Arabidopsis thaliana: one gene and its partner. The protein of the gene in region 1 purifies or fractionates together with the protein of each later gene. This does not show direct contact. Each region holds a gene or a part of one and is shown on either strand. Other genes may lie near its edges. The genes, in order: VLN3 and ALATS.

The links.
Region 2: the proteins of VLN3 (region 1) and ALATS fractionate together in Arabidopsis thaliana (co-fractionation; one large-scale study listed by BioGRID). This does not show direct contact.

The regions. Positions count from the first base shown.
Region 1 is NC_003074.8:21,244,926-21,258,560, forward strand, and holds the start of VLN3 (villin 3), read right to left. Parts: upstream 6,235-13,635; 5' UTR 6,057-6,234; exon of another isoform or gene 5,921-6,056; 5' UTR 5,895-5,920; exon of another isoform or gene 4,934-5,894; 5' UTR 4,885-4,933; coding exon 4,829-4,884; intron 4,666-4,828; coding exon 4,566-4,665; intron 4,392-4,565; coding exon 4,323-4,391; intron 4,240-4,322; coding exon 4,003-4,239; intron 3,916-4,002; coding exon 3,738-3,915; intron 3,598-3,737; coding exon 3,465-3,597; intron 3,328-3,464; coding exon 3,168-3,327; intron 3,092-3,167; coding exon 2,941-3,091; intron 2,851-2,940; coding exon 2,750-2,850; intron 2,663-2,749; coding exon 2,504-2,662; intron 2,061-2,503; coding exon 1,992-2,060; intron 1,919-1,991; coding exon 1,850-1,918; intron 1,767-1,849; coding exon 1,629-1,766; intron 1,449-1,628; coding exon 1,320-1,448; intron 1,161-1,319; coding exon 1,013-1,160; intron 889-1,012; coding exon 878-888; intron 804-877; coding exon 663-803; intron 577-662; and 5 more. Other genes in the region: AT3G57420 (transmembrane protein, putative (DUF288)), read right to left, coding at 7,680-8,159, 8,281-8,407, 8,500-10,190; OTP84 (Tetratricopeptide repeat (TPR)-like superfamily protein), read right to left, coding at 10,806-13,478. UniProt on the Arabidopsis thaliana protein: Binds actin and actin filament bundles in a Ca(2+)-insensitive manner, but severs actin filaments in a calcium-dependent manner, regardless of the presence or not of VLN1 (AC O81643).
Region 2 is NC_003070.9:18,586,640-18,603,594, forward strand, and holds ALATS (Alanyl-tRNA synthetase), read right to left. Parts: upstream 11,841-16,955; 5' UTR 11,673-11,840; coding exon 11,378-11,672; intron 11,113-11,377; coding exon 10,874-11,112; intron 10,569-10,873; coding exon 10,428-10,568; intron 10,076-10,427; coding exon 9,929-10,075; intron 9,722-9,928; coding exon 9,569-9,721; intron 9,179-9,568; coding exon 9,049-9,178; intron 8,798-9,048; coding exon 8,701-8,797; intron 8,543-8,700; coding exon 8,422-8,542; intron 8,107-8,421; coding exon 8,047-8,106; intron 7,949-8,046; coding exon 7,898-7,948; intron 7,829-7,897; coding exon 7,733-7,828; intron 7,608-7,732; coding exon 7,506-7,607; intron 7,360-7,505; coding exon 7,237-7,359; intron 6,865-7,236; coding exon 6,721-6,864; intron 6,634-6,720; coding exon 6,562-6,633; intron 6,472-6,561; coding exon 6,396-6,471; intron 6,315-6,395; coding exon 6,172-6,314; intron 6,088-6,171; coding exon 5,979-6,087; intron 5,892-5,978; coding exon 5,704-5,891; intron 5,605-5,703; and 9 more. Other genes in the region: AT1G50180 (NB-ARC domain-containing disease resistance protein), read left to right, coding at 1-497; AT1G50190 (Cysteine/Histidine-rich C1 domain family protein), read right to left, coding at 1,590-1,761, 2,374-3,439, 3,539-4,160; AT1G50220 (B3 domain protein), read right to left, coding at 16,319-16,703.

The DNA of each region.
Region 1 (13,635 bases):
CTCCACAACGTGGTGTGTACCAAGTAATAATGCTGCCTTCTTCTGGTAGGAATTCCCTTGCACCTGTATGACAGGTAAACATACCAAAACTAAATTTAATGAGACAAAGAAGTGGAAGTTCACGAAAAGTCAATGACAATCAGAGTTAATGTCGTGTGTTCTGGCAGCTTTCCCCTCAGTTTAAATGTAAATCTTTCCTCCTCTATAAACGCAGAGCTTCCTCAGTTTTATATATTCTACAGGTCATTTTAACAAAAGAGATGTGATCACTAACTGCATTCTATATAAGGGTGCTGAAAACAGAATTGGTATTTGCATACAAGATTGCTTTTAAATGAGTATGTTCCCAAACCCTCTCTAACACAATCACATTAACTACCACCCTAAAAAAAAAGGGACCCCCTTCTCATACTAATAAACCAAAAGATATCTGCGAACAGAAAACCTTACAGTAGCTTTAGTAGAATCCCATGAAAAATAAGTGGTGAAGAAGCACGGTTCATTTCCCTCAGTGATTTTGTATAATGGAACTTTTGGAGACAAGCCTTCCAGCGAACCAGCCAGATTTATGTATCTCTGCGCAAAACTGTACAATGAGCAAACAAGAGAGAAAAGAAGGAGGAATCACTATGCTGAGAAGCAAAACTGATGAGGCATATTACTTGGCCAATCTCAAAGGCAGTTTGTTTTTCCTTAGGGTCCACACATTGACCAACCCAGACAAAAACTTCAGCATGAGTATCTAGTAAATGCATTTCCTCCGTCAAGAGGTCATCTTGATCAAAGTTGTGAATCTCTTCAACCTGTGCAAGGTAATATGTTAAAACATGCAACACATCTTGATAAAAAAACGTTGGATATTTTTCTAAATTCTCACCTGAAACTTTCCTGAGGATCCATGCAGACACATGAAAAGAAGAATGAGAAAGTTAAAATATGCAAGTATATCAACAACAAAAATGACCCTATTAGATGCTTTGACCCTCATAATTGATGTCTTGATTTTAATTACCTCTGTTGAAGGAAAAGGAGAACAAGTGAGGATCCCTGACAGTCTCAGAGGAAACTTTCTTGCTGGTGAAGTTCTGTTTTCCCCCAAGTGCAAACCAAAAGGATGAGCTCTCTGTTCCCTCTTTTGCGTGCTTGATAGTAGTCCCAGGCTGACTTAGCAAGAAAGAAGATGATTAAGTTTACCAGTTACAGAAAAGTGATAAGAAGTACGAGTGAGTTTTTATTTAAAAGCTTAATAAAAATTATACCATTCCTACTTGGACAATTTCAGCTAAATTAAAATCAAAGATAACACCATTAGAAACTACCTTTAAGAATTCAGCAACTTTAGCAGCCAGTTCCTGCTGCTCATGCGTACTATGGTTTCCAACCCAAAGGAACATGGAAGTACCCGATTGCAGAAGGAAGCAGTCATAGGAGTTCAAAGAAGTTGCCACCTGCGGAAAGGATTGCACAAATGTCACAGACAATCGCAGACCTGTGTATTCTTAATACAAACTAAACAACATCTAGGCATCAATTTCAAATTCTAACATTACACGAATAGGCAGCCAAGTTTTGAACAGTGTAAGGTAGAAAAAGCACTTAGCAAGAGATAAAGAAAGGTAGAAAATTACCGCTTCAACTTGTAGAGCCTTATTATTGTGAACTCCAGTTCCAGATACTTGAATAAGTGCAATTGATTCCGGCGTGTAGGTTTCGCCTGACGAACCTTTCTCTGTCATACTATTTTTGTAACCAGAGCTCAAACCGCCCTAAATGTTAGTGTAACTATATCAATTACCAATACATTTTCTTGCAGCAACAAGCATTCTGTATTAACAATCAAAAGAAATACCTTAAGGACAACCATATGTTGAAAAAGTGCAACAAATTGTGGAGGCTCTTTACCCTCAAATATACGGGCCTGCAAGAAGATCAAGTTATTCAACAATCTTTCACTGCTAGTGGCCATTACTTACAATAACAAAACATGGTACCTGCACTGGTCTTCCCTTCAACGAATTTGTCATTGTGCTCGCTAGACGAACTGCTGTTTCTTGATCCTCCTAAACTCGGGAGAAAACAAAATTTAGATGGCTAAATATTCAACATGTTCAAATATATACATAATTGAAAAAAATGATTAGATGAAATCTACCACAATATGTACCCAAACTTTGACCACCACGTCAAAAGTTGAGAGGCAACAACTCATAACAATAAACTACAATACTAACAGCATCCCTCAATAGCTAAAGAGTAAAACTGCAGCACATTTACAAATATGAATTTTGAAACATCTTATAGACCCAACCAAGTTTCAATCTTACTTATAAAATGTCTTACAAGACAAACCAGGAAGAAGCTAAACATGCCGGCTTTGTCAATACATTATGTCTTACTATCCTCTTTCCAGTTATTAAAAGAGCTGAAAATACTAACAGAAGAAATAGGGACTTCCTTTTTATATGAACAAAAATATCAAAGATGCACCTTTTCACGTGATTACCTGATTACTATTCTTTCCAAACCAACAGCACAAGAAGTAGTCTTCTTTCCTTTCACCAGAATGGTAGGTATAAAGGACCAGATAGCAGTCCCCAGAATAAAGTTTTCCGACATGATCTTTGGATAGAACAGTCTTGGAGTTGGCATCAATGTACCAAACCTGTTACATGAGCTTAATGAGTTTGGATGAAAATAACCAATTAGATTGAGCAAATAACAGCACAACAAGTCAGAAGACAGAACAGACCTCCAACTTTCCACCTCCTTCAAGCAATGGTGGAATATCCTCATTCACTGGTGTGCTTTTTGACAGGCCCTTTAACCCAACACCTTGTTGCTTAAGTAATGCTAGACAATAGGAAAAGTACCAAAGTAAGTCAGGGATAAGAGATCTTTCATTGTTTTATTAATAATTTAGAGTATCAAAGCAATCTTTACCAGCGACTTTTCCTCGTCCTTCTTCATTAGCAGGAGTTGCCGAGCCTGATGGCCAAGAGTCAAAGTTAGACTTGAAAGAATGGGGCTCATAACCTTGAATAACACGGGTTATGCGTGTTGCCTTTGGCCTATTTTCACTAGCAACAAAATCCTGTAGAGGAAGGTAAAAATGAGAACCAATCCTCAGATATTCTAAGGCTAAGCAAGTTAGACGATTCTAGCTTTACCTCAGCAGCTTGGATAGCAGTTTTTCTCTCTTCCACTTGAGTTACTCGGCCAACCCAGATAAAGATCTCAGAACCGCAGTCCAAAAGGTAGCATTTATTGTTTTCTAGCATAGATTTGGACAAATCGCCGTCTATAGATTCCACCTGACCATCAGCGATACTAAAATAGGGCAACTATAAATCAACATCCATAAACGAGTAATACATAAAAACAAATGACTATTAAGTGTTTACAACATTGTTTAAAGCAGAAAACATCTGAAAACCAATAGAGCAGATCAAAAGGGAGACAAGTACCTATAAAGCTTAGGCGGAGTTGTCTCCGGAATAATTTCATCCTCACTCGCAACTTTCCTTGCTATTGGAGCAAACCCCCCAAAGAGGACCCAGAACTCGCCAGAATCTGATTCTGTATCTAATTTTCCATCATCTGTTATGCAAGGAAATTATTATACATGCATGAGTACCGCAATAAATTGATTGAGCATCCAACTGCTGCTTGATTGACTGATCAAAACGTGAAAAAGAAGATATTCAAATATTAGTTGTAATGCGTCTAATACAACTTACCAACAATAGCAACGTCAGAAGTTCCTTCATGAAACTTGTCTTTCAAATATTGAATGACTACCAACGCTTTAGCTCTCTCTTGGATATTTGAATTTGCACCATTAAACTGATAAATCTTTTCCTTGGTGTCCAAGATAAACACATCATCATGATTCAGAGATGAGCGTGCAAAAGGAACCTACAAAAGAAAAGAGATAAGTATATACATATTAAACACTCATGCGAAGAGAGTGTAACACTTCTAAAAATCTGCAGCAAAGAAAACCTGCTTCAAGTGGACAGCACGTTTTCCTTTGCAGGTATACAGCCGGGTTTCAAACTCCTCCTCCTCCGGTTTTTTAAATCCAGACGCAACACCACCCTCTAGTGGTATAATGCAAGGCTTGAAGTAAGACAAGAATTTGTCAGATTCATGACCTTGAATTTCACGATATTGGACAGCTCGGCCTCCAAGAGCTGCATCAAGTTCAACTGTCTTGACAGCTGCTGTTCCAGCTTCATCCTGGAATTATCAATCGCAGATTAGTAATAATGACGATTCAAATTTAGAACGTAATATATGCTATCATGCCCAAAAATAAATACCTGGCTTGTATCTTTACCAATCCAAAAATGTATATCAAATAGATAAGCGCCACCCTTATTCTGTGTGGTCTGCACATATGAAAGCTAATCATGATAAATGTGAAAGATAATAAAGGAGCATATATTTTATACATATGATCAGACAAGAAAGCATGTTGTCCTGTTCTGTAAGCTAATATCTTATTATCTATTCTTGATAAGAGTCTATAAAAAGGGGAGAAGAAGAGTGAAAAAAATCAAAACCTGCAAGACAATGTAGGTATCTCCCATATAGAACTTTCCATGTTCAGACTTTGGTACTGGGACTGGCTCAAAATTTTCGATTCTCCAGATTTCAGTACCTCTAAGAAATGTTAAAGTTCAACATCTCAGACAGCAGTAAAACATTTAACATTACCAGCAAACTGGTGCATACAAAAGAGATAGCAACAACAAATAGCATCTTCCTCTCTGTAGGAAACAATTATATTGCTTCCCTTGAGATCTAATACTTTTTGAAAGGATACGGTTTCTGCCCCACTCCTTGAAACGCAGGATCCAATACTTTTGTTGACCCAGACATTTTGTATTAGTGGCTAATCTCTTCCTTCAAGAGAAAATACATAAACGACCTGCCAAAAACATAGAGCAAGCATAAAAAATAAGAAGGTAAGAGATTGTTTTATAAGAAGAAACTGGCGCTTGGATAGGAGCCTAAAAAACACTAAAGAGCAACACAAAGGTCTAGCTTTTATAATTGAATTTCTAAATGGCAATCATATATGAGAGAATATACAGTATTACGTAGAAGCATGTTTGAGCAATATATTAACTCTGCAACAATCTGAGTACTCAGTTCTCTCCCACAATTCATTATTATCTGGAAATCATTCATAATAATGGTTCCTCAGGGAAAGTAATTCAAGGGGTTCAAAACTGAGCCTGGCTATCACTCGGAGTTTCATGTATCGCTATAAGCTCTGTTGTGAATATACATCTCTAGACATGAGAAGCAGAGGAAATGCAAATAACTCTTATAAGATCAGCCTCGATGATTACTGAATCAAACCTTCCTTCTGGCAAACATCTCCCGCCACCAAATAATCGAAGTAATCAATTAAACTACAGTAGTCAGGCTCTAGAATGATCTACATATAACCTTCAATTCCATGTGGATCTCAACCATTTTCACAATGAAAGTCCAAGACTTGAAACAGTGATCCAACTTTGCAGTAATATTGGTACACACTCGCGAATCCACCACTTGTTTTGGTTTAAAGATCAACGCAAACTTCAATTCTGTCTTAGCTTACTTTTAACTGAATTTCGGGTCAGAAAATAATCCGATGATCAACTTGTTCGTTCTTGTTTCTCAACGGATAGAGCCTTACTTTTGAGAAATACTAAAGTAAGCTGATGAATGCATGACCACATAATCAGAGAACCAAAAGAAGAAAACAATCAATTTTAAAGCAGAGATCAGCAAGTACAAAGCAGACCGAGAAACTCAGATTCAAGTACAAACAACCAGAGAGAGATCCAAAAAACGTTAATTTGAATCGAAATCAGCTGATCCAAACAAACCCATCATACCTGAAAAGACAGATCTTCGAGTAGCGCTGAGGAAGACAAAGAGATGGGCAAAAAAGTAATGGAGAGAGATCAGGAACAAGAAAACATGAAAAAGAAGAGAGAGAGGAAAAAGCGAATTATTGAAAGGAGATGTGTGCTATGTTATAGCATCTCTATACAAACCTTTCGTGGAGATTTTGTGATATAAGAGTAGTATTATTGCGTAGACGAGGCGAGGAAGAAGAAGAGACAGAGAGGTTTGAGGAAAGACGCGAGCGAGACTGTGATTTATTTTTAAGGCAGAAAGAGAGATTAATTATAAAATATATATATATATACAAAATGCACCAAAGAGATAAACTTAATTTAACCATAAAGTGAATTTTAATTTGTCAATAATTTTTGCAGAGTAATTAAATGGCATAATATTGGAATTTCTCATACATGATAAATGTGTGATTGGTGAAAACAGTCAGTTTCAACAATTTGGTTTGTTCATGTTTTCTCTTACTATTCACAATTAAGAAATCATGCTGAGCCTTTTGAAAAAAACAAAAAAAAAACATGCTGAGTTTGAACTTGGCAGACGATGTTAAAGATCGAACATAAAAGGATAAAGAAAAAGTTTGAAGCATATTATAACAAAATGCACACTATTATTAGTAATTTTAATAACATCATCATTTCAAGACGACGACATTGGGTCCATTTCGCATGTGAATAGACACAAACAAACTCTTTTAAAAGGATACATTTTTATGCATATGAAAACTTTCAGTATCATCATAGAAATACACTAATCCTTTTACGGGATCTACTACAATCATAGGAAATCTTGAAAACAATCATATATATATGGAACAACATTATTCGATATTTTGATCATCTTTTTATATATATATATACTCATATATATATACTCATTTATTTGGTATTTATCGTTATATTTCTAGTGTGTGTCTATATATTCCTTTTAGACATATGAAAAGAAGTAGAATATTACGTACGTGCAGAATGATGGCGGTCACCATATCTACGCCGGTGCCGACCAATTAACCTCAACCAATATTATATACTTTTGCTAACCTCAGAGTTGTTTCATCAATATTTTACGAAATACCACTATCGTTTATTTTTTGGAAAATAAATGATGCGTTATAAGAAAAGTAGTAGTATATATTAAGAAGCAAAGCCAACTCATCATGAAGGCAATACAATGACAACTCAAAAGAAAAAATTAGAAATTGGTCGCTTTCATTACTCATGCAGTCAAAATAATCCATATACTTTGAATATATGTTGCCGGTTCGAAGCAGATGACAACGACGTGATTTTTTATTTATTTTTGGGTCATAGAAGATAAGGTTACTCGACTCAGTACTCCAAGTGGGATAGGAATATTTAATTTCTTTTCTCAACCTCAAACGGATTTTTTTTTATTTCAAGTAAAACGGATTAATTTAACTTGGATAAAATGTATTCCAAAAAAAAAAACCTTTATTCACTTCGTTGACCATTTGTTGTGTGTTGGATGAAACAATGTTTTGCCGTCAGAGCAATGCGCATAGTATAAGCGTCACAATAACACCGTCTAGTTCAAAGTGATTATTATTCACGATTGCAAGTGACCTTTCTTCTTCAAAACATTTTAACTGAGAAAGTTATAAACATCACGAATTACATGGAGAAATTACATCAAGAGAACCAAAAAATCAATGAAGCATTTTTTTGTATAACACAAATGGTAAATCTGTTTCTAAACATCCTTTCATCGCTGCAGCTACTTACTCTTGTTTTGACTCATCATTATACCAATTCCATCAATAGCGGATCACCTTCCGCCATCTCCCTCACCAATTTAATGAAATCTTGTTCGTTCGAGATGCTCCAAGGATGAACTGCAGGTGCTTCCGCTGAATACAAACTCAAAGAAGAGTTTAGCGAAGCTGGTTCTGACTTATATACCATTGAGCCTAGAACCGGGTCAAAATTCTGAGGCGAATCCATCGATAGGAAGAACATAGGCACAGCAACTTTGTAATGCAAATCCATATCACCAACGAGATTAACAAGATCTGTAAAGTCTGAGACGAAGCGTTTAGGGACATAGAAAACTTCCGAGCTGCACATCGTTAAGCTTGTGCCATCGCTATTCTTTGTGGCTTCCTTGTAATTGACTTGGAAATGAACCGGCATTGTACTGACAATTTTCTTGACTAATTCCGCCTGAACCGAATACCAATCCGAGTTCCCGGCTGGTCTCACCGTTGTCCATGACTCCGTTACCTAAAAAAGGGACTCTTTGTCATAAAACCGAATCCAACCATAACTCCTCAAACCAAACATTTTTTAAAATCCAATTGGTACTATTATATTTATGCTGAACAACTAGCTACTGAATGAGTACCTTGTCTGTAGTCCAGAGCTTGGTTTTGTCAGCTTGAAGTAAATTCCAGTAATTAAGAACTGTATCATCTTCAACAAACACAAATCCGTCAGCGCTGCTGTACCGATCAAATATCTTCGGTAGCCGCCTGAAATGGATATAACAGAGCTACAGTTAGAAAGCTCACATTGGTGGAAGAATAGGTTGAAACTGAGATTCTATGCAAGTTTCCTTGATTACTTGTATATGTGATCGAGTTTAGCTTCTTGGACGTAAAGGTCTGAGTTTTTCCGAGAGGACAAAATGACCACGGTTTTGAATATCCGCCCATAAAGTAACCTCCATTCAAGAGCAGTACGTTCCACAGGTCCGTTACAGAACATTATAAGCACTACATTCCCAAAATTCTTCCTCCACTTAATCAAGTTCCCAATTTCAGAACTCACTGTGCCTATCTCCTCGACCCCAAGATGAACCGAAGGCAATTTCCTAGGAACAAACTCTTTTCTATCTCCATGACCAATGGTTGCTCGTGGGCGGTCCAACTCAAGTGACATTAACCGAGGCTGCTGGTATCCGACCATAAGCAAATCCTGGAGCCAAGCAGCTGTGAATTTCACATCTAGCTCAGTCCAAAACCCTTGTTCAGCCATAACAAAGCTCAAATCAAGAATCGTCTCGAAGAACCTATGCTTATTTGATCTCCAAGCAAGCAAGAATTTGATCAAACGACCGACATTGATATGGAGATCTTTCTCATCAGAGAAAGGGTAAGCTTCGACTCTATCATACCGGTGAACAGTTGGTGGATAAACAGCAACATAACCACCAAGCTCCCATAAAAGCCTTTGTCCCCAGTAACCTCTAATCACATCTGAAGCCATGGAACTAACCGAAACAGGAAGCATTAACCCCCAAAACGCAGAGGAATGGTACAATGTGTTAAACGAATTCACAGGCACCATCATACCTTGAGGCAACGCCACTTTAGGAGAATGCTCATCGAATCTGATATCAAACGGTTCGAAAGTCGTCTTCCTAGTGGAATAATACACGGAATCAACATCCGGCAAACCGTTGGAAATCCCTTGCTGAATAAACTGTTTACCACCAAAAACCTCAGTGTAATACTCTTCATGATTGATCTCACCTACATTCTCTAATGGCAAACCTCTAGGCCAAACCGATCGTTGCCCGAAATGGATATACGGATTCACCACAGTTCGATTCGGGTTTTCGTGACTATACTGTAAGATTGGTTCTTGCCTAGCGTCTTCTCCAACTAACTCTACATCAAAATGTTTCCCAAGATCTCCATCAATCACTTCACCACGATCATCTGCATCAAAGATCTTCTTTGCACCATGCTGGATCGCAAACAAGTAACCGACACTTTTGCGTACGAAGGAATCATAAGGCAAATGATCCAAAATCCGGTAATTAAGCTCAGCTTGAGCATCTAGAGATAGAAAAATCGCACCTTTGAGATTCCAATCTTTAGGTGTTAAAGAGTTTCCGATCGCTAGAACTTGCCATCCTTTAATCTTGACCAAACCTTTGAGCTCCTCTGTTGGGTGCTTTGTCACCGACACAACGATCCATTTCTCTGTACGGAAACTAGCGTAAGGTGAGGTTTTGTCGGAGACGATTTGGATCGAGTTCCAGTTGATTTGAGGGCGAGTGAGAGATTGAAGAGATTGAGTTGATTGGGATTGGAAACAGAGGAGAGAAGCAGTGTCGGTGGTGTTGTAGAGGAAGAAGAAAGCAGCGACGGTGACGATGAAGAGGAAGATGATTACGATTCTGTAGACATTGTCGGAAACCCATGAAGAGAAATCTAGGATTTTGGGTTCAGCGAATCGGTCCCGACTAGGAAGTTCTCTGATCCGAGATTTTGGTGGCTTAGGAGCCACACGATCTTGAACCAACATCAGATTCAAGCACTAAACCTCCAAAACCCAGACCAAAACCCAGAAGCAAGACTCTGAATTCAGATAACAAAATCAAATCACAAAGAGTAGTGTAGGTTTCCTATCCAGGGCAAACAAAGAGAGACTCTCTCTGCAGGAAATCGGTTGTTGTCGGAATTTGGAGGTTGCTTATGCTTCAATTCAATGCAAACTGCGAAAGCGAAGTCGTTCGTTGAGCTGCGAGGTCAATGTCTTCCTCTTTTGGGAATTTCTTAGTAATTTTTTTTTTTTCCTTTGTTTGTTCTTTACGTTTTGATTACTGAAACACTACAACAATGCCCACATCACTCATCTATCCTTCTATGTACAAAGAGACAACAACTAAAGAGCAGATCTGTAGGACCAGAGAAACCATCACATGATGGAAAAGGTACATATTAACTAAAGGCTGATTAGTTTATTAAATTATCTAATTTATTTTCTTAATGACTACAGAGACCAATAAGTACATTTAATACTAATAATTTTGTTAAGATCAGTGTGTTCAACTGTGTGTTATACTGTATAACTTATACAAGAATCAACACTTACAAGATATACAATGAAGAAAAAAGAGAGTTTTATGGAGCTTATCTTTCACCAATAGTCTCCACAGGAGCAAGTTCCATTCTTGAAACGATGAAACCTCCTAACATCTCTCAAGATGATTTCTCTATCAACAATCTTTGAGATAAACTTGGTTGCAAGATGACAATCATTACAAACCCTGAGGTTTTTAGCCACCCTAATAATTGTACCGGGTGATGTGTTAAGTATCCCAAACGCAATTGCTAGCTTCTCACTGTGTCCACAAAGCAGAATCTCTTTTTCATCTTCCTCTACATTGTGGAGTACACAAGATGTGTCAGGTACATATCCTTCTTTTCTCATTCTCTCCCACAATGTCTCGAGATATCCACTGAGCTTTTCGCTTTGCGGGTGAGATGAGTCACCGGCTACAAATTTATGTACTTCATCGCCATGCTCAATCCAGCTACATCCAGGTTCTTTTCTCACGCCTTGCTCTTTCATATTTCTTCTTACCTCTGTTGCTTTATCCCAGAGGCCTGCTGATGAATAAATATTGGCAAGTAACACATAGTGACTAGCTACATTTGGTTCCAGTTGAATGAGATTTTGAGCAGCAATTTCTCCAATTTCTAGGTTATTGTGAATCCGACTGGCACCAAGGAGGCTACTCCATGCTCCAGCTTTGTTGAAATCACGAGGCATCATATTCATGAGTTGATATGCTTCTTTAATTCTACCAGCCCTTCCAAGCAAATCTACAACACAAGCATAATGATCTGAGCTTGGTTCAACCCCGTAGTCGGGTTTCATAACATAGAATATCCTTAATCCTTCATCCACCATGCCTGAGTGGCTACAAGCTGCAAATACTGAGATGAATGTAACCTCGTTTGGTTTTACTCCCTGAACCATCATCATTCTTAGCAGATCTATGGCTTCTTGACCGTTTCCATGCATCCCGTAAGCCATTATAATCACATTCCAAGTAATAACATTTTTTTGTGGAATCTGATCAAACACTTTTCTCGACATCTGTAGGCACCCGCATTTTGCGTACATGTCAACTAAAGCGCTTCCGACAGCCACATCAGTTGCCAAATTGTTCTTGATGGCATAAGCATGAATTTCTTTTCCTTTTGCTAATGCTGATAGTGCAGCACAACTGGGAAGGATTGTCATCAGAGTGATGGAATTAGGTTTAAGACTAACTCGGCTAGCCCCCTTGCTCACTTTTCTTTCAAGGTTTTGCATCTTGTGTAGCAGGAGAAGTGCGTCCTCATGGTGTTCTGAGAATACATAACCCGTAATCATCGTGTTCCACGTAACTAAATCTCTATCTTCCATTTTACCGAATATCCGCATGGCGATATCGATCTTTCCCAGCCTAGAATACATATCCATCAGTGTATTCTGCACAAACCTGTCTCTATCTAAACCTCTCTTCACAACAAATCCATGGATAGCTTCCTTTCTAGAGAACGCACCAGAACGGACACAAGCAGGAACAACACCTGCCATTGTGGTAGAGTTAGCCAGAAGCCCAGCACTTTCTTCCATTCCAATGAAAAGCAACAACGCTTCCTTGTCATGCTCATTCTGGGAATACCCAGCGATCATAGCATTCCACAGACCAATCTTTCTATCAAACATTCCATCAAATACTCGACGACCACTCAACACTTGCTTGCAATTGCAATACATGTCAACCAAAGCACTACCAACAAAGGAATTCTCATCCAAAGAGCCATTTTTCAAAGCATAAGCATGCAATTCTTTCCCTGTGCGAAGCATCTCCAAGTGTGAACAAGCAGGAAGAACACTTGAAATAGTGAACTCATCTGGTTCAACACCTTCAAGCACCATTTCACGCAAATATTCCAATGCTTCAAGCAACTGCTCGTTCTGACATAACGAGCTCAACACAGTGTTCCATGTGACCAAGTCACGGCCTCCAAAAGAACCAAGTAAGACTTTAGAAGATGCTAATTTTCCCAGTTTACCATACATAGCCACCAATGTGTTGATTATAAACGAATTCAATTCACCCTTTCTCAAACCATAGGCGTGAACCTGCTTACCCATCATTAATCCCTCAGGCATAGGCAAATTCGAACAAGCAGTAACCACACTCACCAAGGTAAACGAACTAGGTTCCACATTTTCATCCAACATACACCGAAATGCCTCTAACGCCATTTCCCACTTCTCAAAACTACACAAAGAAGAAATTAAAGAATTCCAAGAGACTTGGTTTCTCTCAGATATTCTATCGAACACCTTATAGACAGCTCCGAAATCTCCACACTTTCTATACAAATTCACAAGGGTATTAGCCACAGTCACGGAATCCACACCGTACCCAAATTTATACACATGGGCATGAATCTGTTTCCCCAGTTCCATGTCCTGAAGATCTGCTACAGCCTTTAGCAAAGCAGGGAACGCATAATTATCGGGTTTTATACCCAAAACAATCATGTCAACGTAAGTCAAAACAGCTTCACGGAGCAAATTAGATCGAACTTTGGACCGGAGCAAGTCAATCCACCACTCCGGAGAGCGTGATTGAGAGATAAATATTGAAGGTGCGCCAGAAACGGCGGAGGCAACATCTTCGGTTGCAGAGGTTGGTGTGGCGCGAAGAAGATAAGGATGTTTATGGCGGGAAAATGGAAGCAGTTGAGAAGGAAAGGGGAAAATAGACGGGAGAGAGAAGGTGAAGGCAAGAGGACATGACATTAAGATATTTCTCCGAAAATATCTTTATTTGCTTATGAAATCGAGGTTCGTGGAGATTTCTGTTAAACTGTATCAGTAACAGTAATGCGTAGACGAGGCGAGGAAAGACGAAGAAGGAGATAGAGGATTAAATGGGCCATAAGGCCTTTCATGGGCC
Region 2 (16,955 bases), on another chromosome or scaffold:
AACCTATGCTTCCACCAGTAGATGTAACACAGTTGGTCTCTGCATTTACTAATCTCTGTGAACTGGAACTGTTCCTTAAACTAGAAAAACTCCCAGGAGAACAGAGTTTCTCCTCTGATCTTGGTGCTCTACGTTTGTGGCAATGCGGATTAGTGGATGACCCGTTTATGGTTCTCGAGAAGCTTCCAAACTTGAAGATTCTCCAACTGTTTGAAGGATCATTTGTAGGTAGTAAGCTTTGTTGTTCCAAGAATCTAGAGAATCTAGAGGAGTGGACTGTAGAAGACGGTGCCATGATGCGTCTTGTCACCGTGGAGCTAAAGTGTTGTAACAAACTGAAGTCAGTTCCTGAAGGAACGAGATTCCTAAAAAATCTACAAGAAGTAGAGATTGGGAACAGGACAAAGGCATTTAAGGACAAGCTAATCTCTGGTGGTGAAGATTTCTACAAGGTTCAACATGTGCCTTGTGTTGTTTTTGAGAACTGTGAACTTTAAGAATTTGGGTGTTACAGGTGTATATGATCTTGTTAAAGATTTTCCCCTTTCAGGTTAAAAACATAAAAGTTTGATATCGGTGTAGTCTCCTAAATAAGACGTTCTTTGTTTCAATTTTAAATTCTCTCAAGTAAAATGGAAACCATTAGGTTATAAGCAAAACCTTTCCTCTGCCCTATCCGAATCAAAAAGTACTATCCATTGAACAACCACAAGTTTCTTCTATGTCTCAAGACCTCAAATCATTGAATTCAACATTCCTTCCCATAAAGTAAGTGTACTGGTATTGGTATGTTTCATGTATAGACGTCATACCTAACGCACGCATCAAATGCACCCAAGGAATGAATACTTATGGTAATTGTAATTCCCTACACAAGAGTCGTCACATGTGTAGAACCACCCGATCAGTCACATTTAGTTTCCTTCTCAGACCAATACCAGTGCTTTCATGATTGCTCGTAGCATGTGATCAACGAAGAAAGGTGTCAATCTTAATAACGGTTTTATACTCTTGGGAGAAGATGATACAAAAGCTTTTGACTTTTGATAGTTTTTCTCTAATTGACACTTTCTGTTTTTCTTATCCGACGAGTATTTGCGTCGTCTTTGAGATTATGATATATTTTACTTGGTTCTGCTACTTTTAGTTATTGGAATAGTAAGAGACGACGCAAGTAAGAAAAAACAAACATGTATGCATGCTTTCTTGAAATTCAAGGCATTCCAACTAAATTAGATAAAATAAACACTACAATAAAAATTAGGGCAATAGAAAGAAGAAAAAACGAACACTTAAACTAGAATATGAAATCGAAATCATAAGTAACTAAAGCGACTAAATATAGGAAAGCGGAAAGGGAGATAGATGTAAGCAAGCTACACAGGAATCATTATTCCCATAGTCTTATGCTGAAAATTGAGAACAATGAATTTGTTTTCAAACTGATCCCAATAGAGTTTCAGAACATCGCCTTCTACGAGATCTAATGAATGTTTCATAGTACTCCAACCAGTCCCGAAATAATACTTCATGTCGTCAATTCTTTTCAGGGTAACTGTGTATAGATCGTCTTCCATTATGTCGTGGACTTACACTTCAAAACCGTTGTCCAAACCCTCATCTGTGACACCATTCATCCTCGTGAGGACAGACATCACTTGCGCTTTTGGTAATGCCACATTACCAACAATGTCACTCTTTGTTAGAGTCTTTGATATGATCATAGCCCCGTCTAGTTCATCTCTAGCATAATTCATCTTGCTAAAATTTTAACCCTAGATCTTTTGCAAGTAGAAAGAAAAATTGTTTATGTCTTGTGTTCTTAGATGCAAAACATATTTATAGGAGGCTTAACCCAAGAAGAAAGGAAAATACAAGAGAAAAGGACTCCAACTCTTCCATTAACAAAACAGAAATTGTTCTTATCGGAAAAAAGGAGATTGTTAAGTAATTTCCTTAATACTCCCGAAACGAAAAATGGGAAGAGGGCATTGTAACTTGGGAAGAAAGTTATTGATTCAAGGCATCAAAATGAAGCTGAGATTTTCTTAACTTCAGAAAAGAACATTGATACATTTTGCAGTCATATGGTAGAAAAAGAGTAGAAGTTCCTTCCAAGAGGTAACTACCATCAGATCCTTGGAGGCTATACTACTGGCCATGCAAAATCTCTTAGTTTCATTCAAAGTTCTATGTAAATTATGGTTTTAGCTCTAATTCCTTAGAAGCCACCATAAGTGTTTTCTTAATTTAAAACCGAAGTTTAAATTCAACACTACATCGCTGCTTCAGCCTATATTTCCATTGGAGAAGTCCTACCATGGATAATATATATCGAAGAAACACATGATAGTACAATAGTTTTTCCCAGACGTCTTGACTACCAAAGTGTCCACACAACGGCTTCTACATCCATCACACATTGGTCTAGAGTTACCACTGTTGGGTACAATACCAATACTTGTTTTTGCACCTTCGTACATCTTGATCATATGGTTTGGCTTCATGTAGACCTTATCTCCCAGTAAACATGTAACATGAAGAGTGACAGAACAATAGCTGCATGTGTAGAACCACTTTTGTGCATCTATTTCTGATTCACAAATCTCGCACCAATACTGGAGATCTTTTGTCTTTTCTTCTCCACAGCAAAGAGTGAGTGGATGTTTATCGTACTTGTAGTGAGCCACCAGAGGCATAGTAGCACAAGTAAGACACGAAAAGGACCTGCATTCAATACATTCTAAGTACTTTCTTAATCCGGATGTAATCTTACAAACCATGCATTCACCTTCGGTCAAATTGAAGAAGAGAGGGTGATCATGTGGATGGCAGTCATGGATTATAGGATCAGGAAGCGAAGCACACCTTGCATCTAGTTGAAAGTCACAATCCTTTTCACAACACTTGTACATGAAACCACAACATTCTCGGCTACAACCACTACACGCGAAGAAACCTAGGTCATAGTATTTAGACTGGACCTCGTTGAGATGAGGATAGTGTAAATGGTAGAGGGTGAGCGGGTGTTTGTGTAGTGGATGGTGTTTTATGCGAGGAAGGCCTGCACATGTTTCGTGGATGACAAAATCGCATTGTACACAGCTATAGAAGCTATCCGAAACTGTTATCCGAAGGATGCAAGCTTGGCAAAACTTGTTTTCATGGTTGTCATTCCCATGATGAATCTTTAGATAGTGATGGTCATGACTGAAATGTTGTATTGTCTCTTCGTCAATCCTCACGAATGGCTCAATCTCTTCTTCTTCTTCCTCAGGCACTCCATCAAGATCTTTACCATCCCACACTTCATTCTTTGTTGCACATTTCGAATGGACAGCATAGTGGCATCCCTTTTTGCAAGCGTATTGCCCGTAGTTGACGTCAACGAGTTTGCGACAAACACCACAAGAGAGCTCATCACCAGAAGGAACAGCAACTGAGGAAGTGTGAGAGAGTCAATGCTGGTGACGGGTGATCTTAATGACACGAGGTAAGTAGATACATCTTCTGTGTACCATGTAGTTACAAAGCAAACAAGAGTAAACTGAATCATTGCGAGCGTCAAGTGAAAAACCACAAGCATCACAGGGCAAAGGGAGTAGTCTAGGAAAGAGGGTAAGAGTGTGTTCATGGCTTTTTAGGTTTTCAATAGTATGAGGTGGTGAATCCTTTACGCAAGAAGAGTGTAGACTGAAATTGCAGATAGAACAATGATAATATGTTATATCAAAAAACGAAGGATAGTCTGGGTCGCGGTATGTGATCTTTTTCCGACAAGAGTTGCATCTTTTATGATTCCCATCTGAAGCACATTCTTCTTCATCTCCAAACATATGCTTGTATGGATATTCCGTGCTTAACAGAAACCAAATTTCAGGGATCGCAGAGCTAACAAGATTATGATCTAAGAAGGTGAGGGTGAGAGGGTGGATGAGGTGGAAAGGGTGTTTGATTTCTGGAGGAAACAAGTAACAACCTTTGTGGAATTCCAAATCACAAGTAGCACAATAGTAATAGTACCCACGCCTATTCCCAGTGTATTGTTGGCCTTTGCAGGAGATGCAAACGGTGAGCGGTGGATCAAATCGTCGGCCAAGTTTGTGAGGCTTTGCTAGATCAGACATACGACACAAGGGCTTACTTTTGCTTCCGTCCATGGCTGTAGAATCTCTCAACTATGAATTCTCTTGCTTTAGAGATAGAGATAGACTTCCTTACCCACTTTGTAATGATTATTTTTCAGCCAGCTATATAATAAAGGCAGGAGCTAACTCGTATCTGCCAACTTGAGTTACTATTGCTGTCCCAATTACACTTTTTCGTTATTTTCTTATGAGTTATTGAATTGAAACGTTTTTGTCTTTTGAAATTATTTCTCTATATTTTAGTCTAGGATTTTAGGATTTAGTTTTTTATCTACTAGTAACATATATATCACTGTTTTCAGAAATGTGCAATTCATTTTCAGTCAATCCAAAACAAATTTAAAGGAACTTAGGTAAATCAATTCAGTTTTATGCTTTTGGTAACTAAAGCCGACCAGTCCATACCAAATCCTATTTTTTTTTTTTAAATAACCATTTCAACGCAAACGGGAAAGGATCATTTCACAAGGGATTATAACAGCCATTGGTAACTTTGACTAAAAGAGTGTGATACCACAAATTCCATCACAAGAACAGAGAAATTTAACAGATTCTTAAAACATGTGTAAAACGGTGTACAATGAAAGCAAATTAAGTAGAGGTTATTCTGACCTCACAGATTATGTAACCTCCCGACCAAATCAGTTGAGCTTCATTGATGCAAATGATGAAGCCATATCCAAAGCCGCCTGCACTTGAGAAGCATCCGTTCCCTAAAACCAAAACAACATGTTGAAGATTTAACATCTCTTTGTAGATGATACTATCACATTGTAGACTAAAGAGAATAGGACTCATACCTGCCCTGATGCAAGACCACCTTTCCCTTTCCCGCACCTTCCTTTTAGAGGACCCAATGCAGTTGTCAACCATTCAGTGACGTCTAACGGCTTAAACTGGTCTGATTTTTCTGGCACTCCTGCACACACAACCGCCTTGTTTGTGCTTTCATCTGTGCTGAACACCATTATCGACATACCCTGCAAGGTTAATCAAACGGAAACGTTAATTTAACTTTCTTGCTATCTATGAACAGGTTATGGTACAAGTGATGATGTAAGAAAATACGGATTACCTTCTTTTCCATGACTTTTGAAACGGCCTCTCGCACAGCTGCTGCATCAAGACCCACATCCAGCTGGATTATGCAGAAAGTCTTCCCATCTGATGCTGCGGACTCAGCTGCCTCTGTTGCTAATTTGACAGATTTTTTCAGGTTTTGTTCCGCTATTTTCTTCTGAGCTTTTCTTACTTCATTCTGCGAAGTTAGGAAAACAATAATTGCCACTTCAGAATTGCTTTGATTACAAAATTACAGGGAAATCTAGACAAAGCTGCTGACTGTAAGGCTGAAAGAGCTTATAACCTGAAGCGAAGCAATCTTAGTCCTAATATCTGCCTTTTTAGCTGCTGGGATAATTGCTGCATCTACTCGGCTTTTCAAAGCAGAAACTTTCTGTGAATGTGCAAATACAAACACAATAAGTTTTACGTGAATCCAAGTAACGACATCGTCTTCATTTTGTCAATAGTTTGACAAAGAGAGGGAGAAAACCTTTTCCAATGCACTTCCCTCCGCTCTGGAGGCATCCTCTACTTCTCTTTCAAGTAAGGACGCCGCATTCAATGCATCAAAAGCACATTCAGTAGTCACAGCAGTTACCCTACGAATACCTTTAGCAATTCCCTCCTCCGATAGAAGAGCAAATGCTTTGGCTTCGCGGGTGTTTGTTATGTGGGTTCCTGGAATTGTCAAAATAACCCTATACTCAACATTCTATTCAGAACGTAATATCTTGGTCCCAATAGCTAATGCCAATGGAAACAGACCTCCACAAAACTCGGAAGAAAGCAATGACCATTCATTGTTTTCAGGATCAGCCAAGAGATCCTCAACCTTCCTCCCAATTGACACCACTCTGACGGGATCGGGGTAGACCTAAAAAGAGTAAGAGAGAACGCTTTAACAATTCTTAGAAACCAAACTAAAAAGGTATAGCTACAGAACTGATGGACAGCTTACTTCTCCAAACACTGCTCTTAGACCTTTGATGCGCTTGGCTTCAGAAAGCACAGCTTCCTTGGAAAACACATCTAATTCATCCTTGATCTGTTTATTCACTATGGATTCGATCCTTCTCAAATCTTCAGGATCAACCGGCTTGCCTACTCGAAATTATGGAACCCATCAGACAATTAAGATGACCATCCACATCAAAATAAAAATGACTTTATTCAAAAATGTACCATGAGAAAAATCAAATCGCAGTTTTTCAGGAAGAACAATTGATCCCTTCTGATCAATATGATCCCCGAGCACTTCCTGAATTCATGGGACATGAATATTTTCAGATCCAATAGAAAAAATTAGAAAATCACAGTTTAGGTTACTTAAATTATAGAAAAGGGATACCTTCAGGGCATAATTCAACATATGTGTGCAAGTATGATTAGGAGCGATGAGTTTACGCCTCTCATAGTCAACCTATACGCATGAAAACGAAGGTGGAAACAAATTGGATAGTACCAAATATGGTGAATGAGACAAACACTGTTTGATGCAGAGAGTTACCTTGCAAATCACTTTATCACCCACAGATACCTCTCCAGTTTCTTTAGAGAGATAACCAATGTGAAGAACAAAGCCCCCAAATATTTGTACATTGCATACATTGAATGTCCCAAACGAGCCTTCTATAAGTCCAGTGTCAAAAATCTATTGCCAGAGAAAAAATGTTAGAGGCACAGAGTTTATATACATATAGATGATTGGAAGTGAATCAAAAGCTTAACCTTGTTCATGGATATGAAATCTAAAAATATTTATGTGACTGTCAACGACAACTTCAGAAATTAGTATGCAAAACCAACAATAACTATATCATGGTATTTGCCAGCCGATACATAAATTCAAACAATGCAGTTCTGATATGATTGTGTTCATGGTGTTACTGCCATGTCTACATTTGTATATATATACAAATCCAAGATGAACATACTGAAGACTGCAATTTCATGCCACCAGTCATATGATCAGAAATGAAAAACAATTAGCAAACTAAAATACATATCAAATAAAATGGATTACCTGACCACCCTGCTCAGCATAGAAGCTTGTAGACCCCAATACTAGTCCCACGTTATCACTAGCAGCTGAACTTTCTAGGAAAGTAGAGCCAGTATAGATTGCCTTTAGTTCACTCTCGTGGTCCTGCAGCGATATGTGGCAGAGTACCAATAAAGGTTTCTTTAAAGCAAAATCCATTTACTATTATATGCCCTAACTTCTTCATTTCTACGCCAACATAAGAACATTTCAGGTGCAACATGCAAGTTTTCTGGAATAAAAGGACAAACCTGGAACCAAATGTATTTAAAAGAATCATCTGTTGCTGAAACACCAGCCTTGTGCAATGTTGATGTAGCATCAGCATCCATAACAATGGCACCACCAGCTTGCTATAAAAAAATGACATTAAAAGATTGGTTAATAGATGATGTGATTGCAAACTTCGTTCATAGTCACACGTAAGTTTGGCATTAAACGCTCTTTAAGAAAGTAAACAAGAGGAAAGTTGAAACACCTTATTCTGGGCACTTCTCGATCTTTCCCTCGCCTCTTCCATGGCTTTGTTGAAACCATCAACATCAACCAGTAACCCTCTTTCTTCAGCCATCAACTGAACCCCGAGAATAAAAGTTAGAAAATAACACGAACATTCAGAAATAAGTATAAATGACTTACGTACCTGAGTTAAATCTAACGGGAAACCATATGTATCCCATAAGATAAAAGCATCCTGCAAAGAGAAGACAACATGTTGAGATAGAATTCAAACATCCCAGATGAAAATACTGCAACGCCTAACATACATCACAAAAATGATTCGATACGTACATCTCCACTCAGTGTATTCCCCTGAACCGCCTGTCCAGCTTTCCGAAATTTCTCAATTCCCTGCCGTGAAAATTTATAATCAGTCTAACTGTTCTTATACTCACCACCTATTCACATAAAAAAGGGAGGAACGACCAGGTAAAGCCAATTCATCTTTCAGAAAAAAGATTCCCTATAGAAAATACTATAATTATGTCTAACCATCATTAAAACTGAACAATGATGAAATTGGAAACAATCTATACAGAAATATCACATGCCACTGATTGAAGCTGTGAACTGTCTCTTTTACTTCAGTGCGACGAGCCAGAAGAACCCAAAACAAAATAAGATAAGAGGTTCAAAGCTTTGACGGAAATTAAATCCAGCCCTTACCTTTGCCAAGGTCTTGCAAAAGCTTGCTTCCTCTTCTTTAATTATATCTGTGATCTTTTTCTCATGTTCCTTCAACTCTGTAAAGACATCGCCCATCACCCGAATGACAGAACTTACAAGCCTACAGGTAATATGAAAGCCCGAGATAAAACATGTGTCAAAAAAATATGCTCATTTATAAAGATACAAGACAGAAATAAACGTTCCAGCTACAACGAAACAATATTTGAAACAATATTCAAACAAAACATGCAACGAAAATCAAACATAATTTCCTACCCGTTGAAAAATCCTTCTTCAGCTTTTAGGATCTCCTTTCCATAGCGAACCGCTCGACGAAGAATACGCCGCAGAACATACTCACGGCCCTCATTACCTGCAAGAGATAGTATATTAATTGGTACTTGTTAGACTACAAGAAATAACAAACCTCTATTTGTATAACATAACAGATTGTCTGAGGAAGAAAATTGACAAACTCATCATGCCCAACTTAGAATAAATGAACCAAAAACACTTTTTCTGAGAACATATAAGTATGAACTCAAATAAATGATTGAATACTAAGACGATTGTATTTTCTGTAACCACCACAATTGTGATTGAGACAAGAAACCAAGTATATACCAGGACGAGAGCCATCCGCAATTGCAAATGATAGGGTTCTAATATGATCAGCAACCACTCTATATGCCATGTCAACTCTGTCAACATCTTCCGGACCAACTTTTCCAGAATATGGCCTAGCTCCCGTTGCCTAAAAAAGTGAAAGCATCAACACCTAAACTTAAGATTCGCAACAACTAGGGTAAACAGAGCAATTTGAAGATTTTTTCAATCCTCTCACTAAGAAAAATACATGAAAAGTGACACAGCTAACAACGAATAATCTCCAGGATACCCATAGTAGAATGCCTTTATCATGAAATCCAAATTCAATAAACCAGAAATATTCAAAAACAATTGACGGAGTCTCGACGTAAAGCATAGAACCCATGATCCACTTCAAAATTGATGAACTAAAATGATGATAGTACTAATTAAGGTGACAAATGCGTCCCTAAGAGGAGGCCAAACAAAAATAACTCAATGAAACCATCATTAAACAGCTGTCATGAAACCATCAACAGAAGTTTTCACAAATTACCTTTTGGATGTCATCAAAGATAGGCATGAACACATCTGTATCATAGTTGCTCATTTTGTTTTGAAGAACAGAAGTCAACCTCTCGAAGCCCATCCCGGTATCAACATGCTTAGCAGGCAGAGGTTTTAGCGAGCCATCACTTTCTCGGTTGAACTATTTTGAAGACATAAGTAACATCCCAGTCAGAGGAAACAATTGGGAATATGATAGCACAGCTAAAGGAGCAATAACAATCTAGCTAACTGCACAATATAGAGTTTTCAGTAACACAATCTACAAAATCATTAAAACAATTGTGATATTGAGATAAAGATTAGTAAAATGGAACTAAATAACAATTGGGACAGAGAGGGTTTGTACCTGAATAAAGACAAGATTCCATATTTCTAAACATGTTGGATCGTCATTGTTAACTAAGGATGCAGCATCACGGTTACCAATGCGATCATAATGTATTTCAGTACAAGGTCCACACGGACCTGTGTCGCCCATTTCCCAGAAATTGTCCTGCAGTTTAATCAAAAGTTAAATGAAAGAAAAACAGCATTTAAAAACCCTTAAGTTTTACATTTTGTACAAGATTTTGACTGTAAATCATAAACAATGGTTTTTAAAGCCTGCCAACTACCAAACATGATAGCGTATTCCTAGCCAAAATGCATTCAAGCTTACAGTTGGTTGTCGTTAGCATTGACAAACAGATGTGTCAATATATACAAGAAACAATGGTGACAATACAAAGGCAACTTAGCTGAAGTACTTGTGAAGTAACCTCAGGAGAGAGGAAATCAATGAGTAGTGGATTCAAAAAAATTAGGTAACAGATTAAAAGTTATTATCTTAAATAATCAATACATACTTTGCAACCAAATGGCAGCACACGTCCAGATGGAAGAACCTTCAACCATATATCCCTAGCCTCATTATCAGGTTGAAGGCCAGCTTTCTCATCACCGCCAAAATATGTAGCGTAGATTCGATCAGTCGGTAGCCCATAGACCTGAGGCATGAAAACAGGGAGGTATCAACCTCAATGAAATAAACAACCTCAACGAAAAGAGAATAGTAACTTTACAAAATTATGAAATACTGTCACAAGGTATCTAACTGAAATGTACAACCAAATGAAAAGAGAAGAATCACTTTACAAAACTGAAATGTACAACCAAATGAAAAGAGAAGAATCACTTAACAAAATTGAGACATACCGTCCCAAGGGAGGGAGACAATAGTTTACTGAATAATACCATGTATATTTTTCTTAAATCAAGTAAACAGAGACAAATTTCCCAGGTATTTAATTACCTTGGTTAAGAGCTCCCAAGCCCATTCGATAGCTTCCTTCTTGAAATAATCTCCAAAGGACCAGTTACCAAGCATTTCAAAGAAGGTGTGATGGTACGTATCTTTGCCGACATCATCCAAATCATTATGCTTTCCACCAGCACGAATACACTTTTGGGTGTTACATGCCCGAGATAGCTTGCTAAGCTCAGTATTTGGATCGGCCGTACCCAAAAATATTGGCTTATACTGGTTCATTCCTTGAAAAACAGAGAAGTTTCAATGTCATTAATAATTCTATTTTTCGCCAGACATATCAAGAGAACTTAATTTACATAGCTCAGTATCAATATCAGAAAATTTCGACCAAAACTGAAATTGAGAAATTTGAATAAGTCCCAAAGCTTCAAAGACAAAAGAAGACAGAATAAGTCAACTCTATAGAATCTGAATTCCATAGATCAACTTGGACAAATTCCCAATCTTATCGGCAAAAACAGATATGAGGAATCGAAGTTATCGTACCAGCGTTAGCGAAGAGAAGAGTAGGATCATTATGAGGAACAACGGGGCTTGATGGCCAGAACTTGTGGCCTTTGCCTCTGAAGAAATCGACATAAGTATCCCGGACTCTCTTTGCTGGCCACTGAGTCTCCGATGGTTCGGAACCCGGCATGACTGCGACGGAGGAAGACGTCGACGAAGAGGAAGAAAAACGGAAGTGAGAGAAAAAAGGGCGGCGGAGATGGGAAGAGTAAAAAACCCTAGACGGAGGTTTGGTTGAAGAAATCAGAAGAGAAGCTGCCTTCACTAATCTCATTCAAACCAATAAAAGACCTTCTCTCTCTCCTCCTATCCTATTTTCTACCGTTAAAATTTATTTAATCCGATTCCTTTTCCGCAAGATATATTATTTTAAGGGATAATACTTAAAAAATAAAAAAAGTAAAATTTGGAAAATACATTTTGTTCATCAAAGGATAACATTAAAAAAAAAACGAGAGTAAATTTTGGTTCTCGTTTAGATAAACTGTTGGGTTTGCTGCCACTAGCCGTGAGACTGCCTCGCATGTTATTGTTTGTTTCGTTGTTGTTGTTGCTGTTGTCGTTGCCGCAAGTTTTGAATTTGTTTTGCTGCTACTGTTGCAAATTTTTGTATTCGTTTCTCAGATAATACTATAGTTTTACACGTAATTTTTTTTTTTCCAATCAACCAAATGTAATTCTAATATATTTTTGTTACTTGAATTTTTTTCATATTTGAGTTTTTCTCTTTTTATTATGTGGATTGATATGATCTATATATAAAAATTATTCTTATTCTTGTTAAATATTAATCTAAATACTATTTTTATAGTATAAAAAATGAATGATATTATTTTGATGTAAACTACCTAAAATTTTATAACAATAATGAGTTTTTACGCTATTGATCAAATTGGGTTGGATGGATTTCTGTTACATATTGGTTACAGTTATTAAAAGGGAAAAATGTTATTTAATACCTCAACTTTCAAATTATGACAGTTTTATACGTTAACTTTATATATGGTCATTTTAAACATGAAGTTATCGTTGATCACCATTTAAACCATGAATATTTTATTGACCAGGCCAAAAAAATTAGTCGTTAACGGATTATTCAACTCCCGTTAACACCTCCATTAACCATTCTAAACGACGTCGTTTTCGTTTTTCTTTAAAAAGAAATGACAGACCTGGGATTCGAACCCCTATCATTTGAGAAAAATCAAAGGTCATTTGACCACTCTACCTGCAAAGATTTCTCTGTCATTCTATACAAACACAGATACTTATATACGCTTAAAGTTCTTCTTCTTCATCTTTAACGAAACAAAACATTTCCATAGTAAAGCTTCCATTGAAGAACACCTCCGATTTTGAACACTTCGATTTCTCCATGGACTTCTACCATTTAATACAAGCCTCATCAAGCACCCCTATTCATTGAAGAACACCTCCAAACCTTTTTTTCCCGCCAAAAAAAAAAAAATCCCGCCAAAAATAAATTTCCCGCCAAAATTTTTTCTCGTAAATTTTGTTTCCCAGCAAAAAAAATGCTTTTAAAAATCCTTGTAAATTTTTTAAAAACTCTTTTAAAAAACCTTGTAAAGTTTTTTAAAATCTTTGGTAATTGCTAAAAACCCTTGTAAATCATTTTAAAACCTCTTAAAATCTTTATAAAGTCTTTAAAAACATAGGTAAATACTTTAAAACCCCTTTTTAAACCTTTGTAAATCATTTTAAAACTTTTTACAATAGTTTTACAAGATTTACAATCGTTTTTTAAGCATAAGTAAGTGGCATTGAATGATTTACAAGGGATTTTGAAAACTTATAAAAGGGTAAAACATGATTTACAATCGTTTTAAAGCATAAGTAAGTGGCATAAAATGATTTACAAGGGATTTAAAAAAGGTTAGCATGGTTTACAATCGTTTTTTAAGCATAAGTAAGTGGCATTGAATGATTTACAAGGGATTTTAAAAGCTTATAAAAGGGTAAAACATGATTTACAATCGTTTTTAAAGCATAAGTAAGTGGCATTGAATGATTTACAAGGGATTTTAAAAGCTTATAAAAGGGTAAAACATGATTTACAATCGTTTTTAAAGCATAAGTAAGTGGCATTGAATGATTTACAAGGGATTTTAAAAGCTTATAAAAAGGTAAAACATGATTTATCATCGTTTTTAAAGCATAAGTAAGTGGCATAAAATGATTTACAAGGATTTTTAAAAAGGGCTAGCATGGTTTACAATGTTTTTTTAAGCATAAGTAAGTGGCATTGGAATGATTTACAAGGGATTTTAAAAGCTTATAAAAGGGTAAAACATGATTTATAGTAACGAAAACGACATCGTTTAGAATGGTTAACGGAGGTGTTAACGGGAGTTGAATAATCCGTTAACGACTATTTTTTTTGGCCTGGTCAACGAAATATTCATGGTTTAAATGGTGGTCAACGATAACATCATGTTTAAAATGACCATATATAAAGTTGACGTATAAAACGGTTATAATTTGAAAATTAGGGTATTAAATAACATTTTTCTCGTTATTAAAAAGCAATATATCTCTGCAAATGGACACACCAAAAAGCCAAACACAATTTGATCAAATTACCATCATTACTCCAAATTATCATCGTTATTCAAAGTATTTCAAAGTTAAGACATAAGTTCGCAAGAAGACACTTCACATATCCAGCTACAGATGATAACTGGATGAACCTGTAAGAAATAAAAAGTTAAAAATGAAAGTCAGATACATCAACAAGAACCAGTACTAATTCGATTAGAGTCATTCACATCTAAAATCAATCTGAGTCCAGTTTTCAAAGAACACAGTTTCAATCACAGAGAGGCAGAAAAAACATACTTGATCAAGACCAAAAACTCCAAGAAATGTTGCAAGTTATGTCTTCAGTAGACAAAATAGATGCATATAATAAGAGACTAGCCATAGAGAATACTTGTGATATAAGAAGAAATCTGCAAAAAAAGAAGAAAAAATATTATTATTTTTACAGAAGGAAAAAAGATCTCGGATGAACTGATTCAGAAAAGTATTTGGACACAGAAAACTAGTAGTCGTTCATCAACGACGGAAGTAACTCCCTAGTTGCAGCAACTGCGTACCGCATATCCCTTAAGAGTTGTTTCTTTTCCAGCTGCTCATTTACAATGGTGACAAACTTGAGAACAAAAGAGAAGCTAACCTCAATATGCAGCATTGGTCGCTTTATATGCTGATCCCAGGGGTGTGCTTCATGAGCAACAATTGAAGCTAACATGTGAAGAGAGTTGGGAGCTGTTGGAGAAAATTTCATTATCTGGAAGAGAAAATATAGGTAATCATTAGGCTCTAATCTTTCTGCAGCATATATACTATCATACTTGACACACTTATTCACCTGATATGCAGAGCCAATGTTGGTTAAGAAAATGGAGGAGATTGGGAAGCAGATAATTGTAAGGTGTGGAGGTTTACCTCTAGCTATAACAGTTCTTGGAGGATTTCTGGCAATGATAAGTACATGGAACGAGTGGCAAAGAGTATATGAGAACATCAAATCATATGTTTCAAATGGAGTTAGTAGCAATGGAAGTAAGAACATGCTAATTGCATATGTTGCAATAGTAAGAGACGACACAAGCAAAAAAAAACAAAAACATTCTATGCATGCTTTCTTGAAATTCAAGGTATTCCAATTAAATAAAAACTACAACAGAAATTAGGGTAATAGAAAGAAAAAACCGAACACTTAAACTAGAATATGAATAATGGATTTAAAAAATATACCATTTTATTATATAAAATACAATAAAGAATTAATTTTACAATTAATTATTAATCCTAAAAGAAAAAGAATTCTAAATACTCACCTCTATATAAACTAAACAAATAATCTGTTATGTTCTCATCAAACAAATTAAAAAGAACTTTAAAAAACACCATCAATTGATACAATAAAACATGCAACGATTTGAATGGATGAATAATTCAAGCTCCGAGTTAAGCAGGAAGTTCCGTGAAGATAACGTCCAAGTTGATGAATGATTTATATTTTCGCCAAACAGATTTTCCATCACCAAAAAGTAAGGTGTCATTTTCGATAGGTTTGCTTGGGATATGTTTCTCAAGACTGTAGACGGAGACATGTTTGGTAAGAGATTTTCTGAATCTCAGCTACAATGATGAGAATCAGAGAATACTCAACTTGCGGGACGAACATGTACAGCTTGGAGAGGAGTTGCGGCTCTTGAAAAGGAATATATGCCTCATTGTGCATGATATCTGGGGGAGAAAGATGCTTGGAATTCTCTGACATAGGTTTTCTTGTGTGTTAAGCAAAACCTTTCCTCTGGTCTATCTGAACCAATAAGTATAAACCTGAGAGAGAAGAAAGAGAGGAAATAAAGTTCTATTTCTATCAAAACGCCATATTCAACACACCAACGCATCAAAAGCTTTCTACCAATGAAAAAATTCTGGTAATTGAATTACCGTAATTCCCTACACAAGTCACATGTGTAGAACCAACAACTCGATCAGTCAAAACTTATTTCCCTCTCACACTAACGTTGGTGCTTTCATGATTACTCGTATTGTGTGATCTAAGAAGAAAAAGGTTTCAATCCTATATATTTTTGAGATTCAGTGTATATTTTACTCGATTCAATGTTTTTGAGATTGTGATATATTTTACTCGATTCAATGTTACTTTTTTTTTTTTGTAATTATAAGAGATGACAAGAAATATAACAAAAGAAACAGCTATGCAGCTTGCTCTCTTGAAATTCAAGATATTTCAATTAAATTAGATTTAACAACTACAACATAAAAATTAGGTCAAACAAAAAACCAACACTTAATTAAAATATGAAAACGAAAACATAAGTAATTAAAGCAACTAAATATAGGAAGATAGATGTAAGCAAGCTACACAGGAATCATTATTCCCATAGTCTTATGCTGAAAATTGAGAACAATGAATTTGTTTTCAAACTGATCCCAATAGAGCTTCTGAACATCGCCTTCTACGAGATCTAATGAATGCTTCATAGTACTCCAACCAGTCCCGAAATAATACTTCATGTCGTCAATTCTTTTCAGGGTAACTGTGTACAGATCGTCTTCCATTATGTCGTGGACTTGCACTTCAAAACCGTTGTCCAAACCCTCATCTGTGACACCATTCATCCTCGTGAGGACAGACATCACTTGCGCTTTTGGTAATGCCACATTACCAACAATGTCACTCTTTGTTAGAGTCTTTGATATGATCATAGCCCCGTCTAGTTCATCTCTAGCATAATTCATCTTGCTAAAATTTTAACCCTAGATCTTTTGCAAGTAGAAAGAAAATTTGTTTATATTTCGTGTTCTTAGATGTAAACATATTTATAGGAGGCTTAACCCAAGAAGAAAGGAAAATACAAGAGAAAAGGACTCCAATTCTTCCGTTAACAAAATAGAAATTTTTCTTATCGGAAAAAAGGAGATTGTTTAATAATTTCCTTAATACTCCCGAAACGGAAAATGGCAAGAGGGCATTGTAACTTGGAAAGAAAGTTAT